Linked DNA regions of Oryzias latipes. The protein of the gene in region 1 interacts with the protein of each later gene in a pairwise test. Links are inferred from orthologs where the notes say so. Each region holds a gene or a part of one and is shown on either strand. Other genes may lie near its edges.

Region 1 (3,823 bases):
GAGGTGGCTGACCACGAAGAGATGGCCCTGGCGAGCAGAGTGACCGAACACTGGAGAGCAAAGCGCAGGCATCAGTCAGCAGGTAACTTTCTCAGCATTTGACTGAGGACAGACCCACTAACACAAACGACGGTCGGGTGGACTTCAGCAAACGGCAGAGTGTGACCCACAGAGAAGCTGAGAGAGGATGAGTCCCAACAGGGAGAAGCTAAAAATACATACGCGTGCTGCGGCAAAAGATGTGCGTGCACGTTTGTGGCACCAGCAGCTGGTCTGACACATCGAGACCCACTTACAGTGTAAGGCCAAGATGAGCCACCATGATTAAAATGGCGTTTTTGGTGTTATTAACATGTTCTTGTGTAATTTTTCTGATGATAGAGGACAGATATGAAGACAGTTAGGCTTAAATTGCACTTTTAAGTATTCCTTTATTCAAATTGAGATGCTCTAGTGTTTGTTTTGTTTTTGTCCTCTCTGACCTAAAAGTGTCTAAACAAGTCTTTTCTGTTGGACATTGCTTCCTCCTTCTGGATGTTTTCCCTTATTAATAGGGCATAAAGAAAATACACTTAAACCATGGCTACGTGTATGAATGATTTGGACTATTTGAGTTTCTACGACCTTTAAACATTTGACTTTTTGATTTGCTGTGATGCACATCTTTCACTGCCACTTGGTTGTGTTGTATTTGAAGCGATGCTTTAAAGTCCCAGTCCAATCATCTATTTTCAAAGGCGTTTTCCACTGGTCTTTTGTTGTGAATACGAATATGCCTTTGTAGCCAAAATAAAAAACACCTGTAATTTTCTAGGACACAGTTTCTGCAGAGCATCAGTACATTTGAAATTTACCCCTGAGTTGTGGGTTGGACTGTTGGCAAAGAGCAACCCCGCCCCCCTTCCCCTCCCCATTCTTGAGAGCGCAGAGCAAGGAGCTTGTGTCCCGCTCGGCGTATTTTCTACGTCACAAATACCATCTTTTACAAACAGCATTCTTTCATCTGCTCCTGATTCACAACGATTTGAACAAAGAAATGCATCTCTTAATGCATCTCTTAATATATGTTCTCAATCATCAGAAAAATGCCACAAGCCCATGTAAAAAAAAACAACACAATTTTTTATCAGAGTGAGTATTTAATCAAAATCAGAGTAAAAAATTGTGAGAAAAAATTATTAATATCAGCAAAGAACATTGTATTCTGGAATGTTTCTTGCAGTTTAATGTGAAAAAAGACTTTCTTCCATGACATTTACCTTAAATCTGAAGATTAAAGAGATGATAACAGAAAGATGGAATGCTTTAACTACATCTGGCATATTAAGATCGTCTCACCTGTGAAGGATCTGAATTTACAAGAGCAGTGTTATTGTCTGCTTTCTCCACAGCTGGATCTCTGCAATACAAGTGGGACCAGCTTTAAGAGACAGCACTGGACACAACTTTCAAGGAAAATATCCAAAACTGCTTAACTTTGGCCTCATACTTTGTGTTTGGTTGAAGACAGGATTTCTTTCCAGCAGCAGGAGCAGCAGCTTCGGAGGTGAGGAAGGTGGGACATTTCTCTGCGTAACTCTGGGGGAACCAGCCCCTCTTTCCACAGTACGTCCCACACAACCAGCCAGGCTCGCCCACAGTGAGCTCATTCACCTGCCACAACAGACAGAAATATGCAACAAGGTGAGATTAGAAGAAAAAACATTTTGCATAACAAACAATAATCCATCCATAAAATAAGTGGTAGCAATTAGTCATCCAGTTAGTTTATTAAAGGAAATATTTTCATGTAAGAATATTTTTCGCTGATATTAAGCTGCAGATTATTAATGATATTTAAAAATTATAGAAGCTTTTTTCTTACCTGGATGAGGCAGTTTGCATCTATACTAAGCTCATCTGCGTTGCGGGCAACAAATGAATACAAAGCTTTGTATGTTGTCAGCTGTCCTCCTCTTTCCAGTTCCTTCTTCTTCATCACCTCCAACTCCTTCAGTTTCCTCCCTTCTTCCTCTTCTCTCTTCTTCCGCTCCTCCTCTTCCCTTCTCTGCCTCTCCTCCACCTCCTTTCTCCTCCTTTCCTCTTCCTGTTCTCTTTTCTGCCTCTCCTCCTCCTCCTCTCTCCTTCTTCTTTCCTCTTCCCTCCTCTGTTGCTCCTCTTCCTGTGCTTTCTCCTGGGCAGCCCGGAGGCGAGCTTGTGCTTCTCTCTCCTCTTCCTCTCTCTGCCTAGCCCACTGCTCCTTCAGGAGCCTCCTCTGCCGTTCCTCCTCTTCTTCTCTCTCCTTTTTTTCTTTTTCTCTCTGCTCCTGCTCTCTCCTCTCCTGCTCCAGCTTCTTCTGTCTGTAGAAAAAAACAAAAACAACACTTTAAAAGACTTCACGGGATGTTTTTTCTTTTACCAAATATCTTGTAAATTTTAACATCTACAAGGAATTTGAATCTAAAACCCCTAGATCAGAGCTTTCTTATTTTATTATTTTGCATCAGTTCAAGACTTTTTTTTAAAAAAAACGTCAGAAATTTCACTGGATTTTCACTAACTCGTAGACTAAACAGGTCAAAATACGCTTGGTTGTCAGACTGTAGTCCAGCAGCAGTCTCTAGTCCAGAGTTTGTAATATTTGTGCCAGACATCAGTGTGACCACAATGGCTGCAACTCTTCCTTACACTAAACTTAGTAGAAAGCTGCATTTTATATAAAAGTGCTTCCTATATTATGAAGGGTTTTAACATGCATCATTTAACATGAGTCTGTTGAAAAAACATCTGCAGACTCTGTGTCACATCTGTCTGCATGGACCCACTCCAATCATCTTTTGATCTATTTTTAAATCGTTCCCATTGGTCTTTTAATTATGATTATGTTGTTTATAGCCAGAACCCCCCCCCCCCCCCCCCCCCCCCCCCCCGGTCATTTTCGAGGGCTGTATCTGCAGAGCTGCAGGAGTTTATCAGAAATTAATCTCCGAGCTGTGGGTGGGAGGAACCCTAGCCCCACACAAATTGTCCTGCTAGCCTACAGCCCCTCACAACCCCAACCTAACACTAGGGGTGCAACAAAAATGGCGAGCAATATTGGAACTATCCAGCCGTACATTTTTGTCCTGATCCCAGCTCAGATGAAGAAAACAAAGACGTACATTTGTCTACAAGTGGTTGCATCAGAATGGAGCGGAGCAGGGAGACTGTAGGGAGACCTGGTGTATTTTCAAATGGCATTTTATTTGTCTGCTCATGATTCACAGCAATGAAATATTGAATTTTAAGCTTAATTCTTTAATATATGTCCTCTATCATCAGCAAAATGCAACCAGAACATGTTCATAACACCAAAAACACAATTTTTTTCAGGTTATTTATCGGAGATTGTAAAATGTATACAAACTGTAAATGAGCTTGTAGAGTTGATTATGGCGCAGTGTTAAAGTGAAGAATAACTTTCTTGTGTGTTTACAATCTTTTCCTACTCTTCTGTGTTTCCATGTACGTGCAGGACTGTTCCCCCTAAATTGTGAGCCAATTAAAAAATGTCCACTTTGTGGTGCCCTGAGATGCTATGAAAACTGGAAGCAGTCAGGCGGAAAGCGTTTTAATCCAATGATTTAATCCAATGATTGCTGAGTTCCTTTCATTCACTGATAGGTAGCTATAAGACAGCATGGGATTGTCTTTTTAATTGTGAGTTGTACTCAGGAGACAGAAATATTCTGCAGATTGTGCAGCTACATCAAAAACAAGTGTTCACCTGGTTGCCTCCTCCTCCTCTCTCCTCCTCCTTTCTCGCTCCTCCTGTCTGTGCCTCTGCAGCTCTTTCAGTTTTTCC
Region 2 (3,056 bases), on another chromosome or scaffold:
AAACCGTAGAAACCGTCCTTAGTGGTGGAGTGGAGGACCTGTGTAGAACCTAATTCTGCAGGAGGTTGGAGTGAAGCTCGTGAGATGAGAGTAGCATTTTTTTGGAAGTCTGGTGTCAGGATGACTGTGCTCAATAATGTTCTCACTTTATTTCACAACAGCAGGTGACACTTTAGGCTCATGCATGCAGAGCTCTTGGCTCATTTAGTCGAATTTATTTATGCCACAATAACAAATCTGTCCAAACAGGCTGATAAGCAAATACAACAGGGTTTTTGGCTCTATTGAACCGCACGCAACAAAGTTTAAGCTTCATAAATGCACTTTAAAAGGCAAGCAATAGTCTTGAATGGTTGTATTCATGTTTGAGGTGGGATCCGTTTTAGCCTAATGGCTGTGCAATACCCCTATCAAAAGGTTTTGTGTTGCCATAGTGACAGAAGTGTTGTCTTGTTGCAGGTGAAACACCTGACTCGTGACTGGAGAACAACCGCTTATGCTCTGAAGCACTCAAAGATGCTTGAGCTGAACGAAGAGGGTCGCAAAGTGCGGCGCAAGTCCGCGGTGCCAGTCTTCGCCAGCGAGTCGCTGCCCAGCCGCATGCTGCTGCTGAGCGATCTGCAGAAGTGGCCTGATTTGGCCGTTCTAACTAAAGAGAATGGGAGCGGAGAAGGAGGAGCCACTCAGCAGGAGCAGCTGATGAAGCTGCTGCTCAAAGAATTTGGAACTTTTGGCGCCATCTCTTCTGTGAGAGTCCTGAAGCCTGGGAAAGACCTGCCGGCTGACCTGAAGAGGCTGAGCGGGCGCTACCCTCAGTTAGGCGCTGACGAGTGCGCCATTGTGGAGTTTGAGGAGGTGGAAGCCGCCGTAAAAGCCAACGATGCAGTAGGAAGTGAAGATGGAGGAAACAGCTCCCTGGGGTTAAAAGTGGTTCTGATTGGAACCAAGCCGCCTAAAAAGAAGGTGCCCAAAGAACGGCCCCGCGAGGAGGGAGGGATGCGCAAGAGTCGCTCTCTGAACAGCAGAGTCAGAGAGCTCCAGTATCACGGAGACGACTCCGCCTGCAGCTCTTCAGAAACGGAGAGCACCCCCACATCGCCCAGGCTGGCTAGAAAATCCCTTTCCTGCAACAAGCTCAGCCCCACCACAGCTGGCATCAACTTCCAGAACAATCACCTAAGTCCTGGTATGTCTCCACGCAACAGCCCCTGGTCGAGTCCTCGTGCCAGCCCGTGTCCTCAGCGCAAATCCCCCCACTCGCACAAGTCTCCCCTCGCCAGTGAGGGGAGGCTGAGCCCCGAGGCGGGGCGCCGCTGGGCAGACTACTCCTCAGACAGCAGCCTCACCCCTTCAGGGAGTCCGTGGGTTCAACGGCGCAAGCAGGTGGCGTCTCAGGAGAGCAGTCCAGTCGGCAGCCCGATGCTGGGGAGAAAGATCCAAAACGCAGACGGCCTGCCACCCGGAGTAATGAGGCTGCCGAGGGGTCCCGACGGCACCCGCGGCTTTCACAGCATCACTGTTGCTGAGAGAGGAAAGTCTGCCGCCACTCAGACTTGATACTTGATACGAGGCACATCCTTATGCATTTCCTGCCCCTTCCAGATCCATCAGAAACTTGGCCATGTTTGCCCCGCCCCCTCCCTCGAACATTTGAGACTGTGTAGATATATTTTTGTCAAGTGCGTTAGTTTTCAGTATTTGTTATATTTTTATACGGCATTTTGCGTTGCCATGGTAACATGAGGGATTTACCAATGGAAATCAGAGTGAATGTAAACGGACGTTTGAGAGAGGGCGCCACGGAAACGGACCGTGCTGCCTCCATTTCCTCGGGCTGTGTGCTGGTTCGGGTGAGCCTGACAGAATTCCACCTCGTCCACTTTGGTTTGAGCGTCCCATTTGATGTGCAAACCCCCTCCCCCTGCAACATTGTCTGGATTTTAAATGTGCAAGTGGCACAGGCACATGGGTTTGATAGAGATATCACCATATGCCTTCTCGTGTGTTAGTCTAATGTGAATTTCACTCTAGGATATTTTGAATTGAAGCCATTTTTGCCATAAAGGTTGAATTTTTGTTGCGTTTTTTTATTCTAAGTTCATTTTCTGTATGCTTTGGCACTTGCTACAGGCAGGTAGCTGCTTTATTTATATTTTTTAAGCTGTGTTTTCTTTTCGTTTTTGCTTTGACATGCTCACATTGAGGTTTGAGGAAAGTTGAGGTCTGGCAGAATCGATGCACATGTGTTTATTGCCTTTACATCTGAGCTGGGGCATTTGTACATTGAAACTCCTATTGTACAAATAAATCACTGAAATTGCCGTCAGTTTGATTTCTGTCTTTACTACGTGTTTTTGTCTCAAATGTCTTAAGCAGCAGGATTAAGCTGGATATCGTTATTGTGCCAAGATGGTTAAAGAGATCCCGGATTTTCAAGACTGACTTGGCACACGATATTTGAAAATCAGTTTATAGGTGTTGGAAAAACCTAGAGGGTATACTTTGTCAAAATTGTTCTGTAGTTCATTTTGTTCAGAGGGAAATATTTTCCCACTTCTTGCTTTTAAAGCATCCAGGAGTCAATCTTTTTCCAGCTTTCTGTGTGAAATACAGGGACGATGTTTGCCCATCCTGATTCGTAGCCACTCTGAATTGCTTTCTCAATGCCTTTCAGTGATGTTGCACTTCAGATAGCTGTATTTTACTGTTATTATTTTCAAGAGCTGCCCGGGGATTGAACTGCCATCTTGCTGTAAAGAACCATTTTTTTTTTTTCTGTCTGCGCAGGACTTTGTTTTTCCCACAGTCTGGGTCTGCTGCAGGCCTTCCCATAGCATGATCTGATTAGTAGGGGCTCAAAGGCTCTGGTATGTTTTCATTCACATGTGTGGAGATGTCATCAAGGTTCAAACTCTCCTGAAGCGCTGATTTTTCTTTTATTTAATATAAACGCAATGTTCCAAAGTTTTGTTTGTCCTCCATTTAAAGCTTTGTTTTCACTTTAGCATTGATTGGCCTTTTAATTGGTGAGAATTATTGCTTCATTGTGAAACAGT

The links.
Region 2: the proteins of intersectin-2 (region 1) and la-related protein 6-like interact in a two-hybrid assay, tested with the Homo sapiens proteins (2 studies listed by BioGRID, with this or other methods). The link is inferred for Oryzias latipes from reciprocal best matches to the Homo sapiens genes ITSN2 and LARP6.

The regions. Positions count from the first base shown.
Region 1 is NC_019882.2:14,797,229-14,801,051, reverse strand, and holds part of intersectin-2, read right to left. Parts: coding exon 3,746-3,823; intron 2,340-3,745; coding exon 1,865-2,339; intron 1,654-1,864; coding exon 1,490-1,653; intron 1,400-1,489; coding exon 1,339-1,399; intron 51-1,338; coding exon 1-50.
Region 2 is NC_019861.2:31,088,342-31,091,397, forward strand, and holds the end of la-related protein 6-like, read left to right. Parts: intron 1-459; coding exon 460-1,557; 3' UTR 1,558-2,326; downstream 2,327-3,056. UniProt on the Homo sapiens protein: Regulates the coordinated translation of type I collagen alpha-1 and alpha-2 mRNAs, CO1A1 and CO1A2. Stabilizes mRNAs through high-affinity binding of a stem-loop structure in their 5' UTR.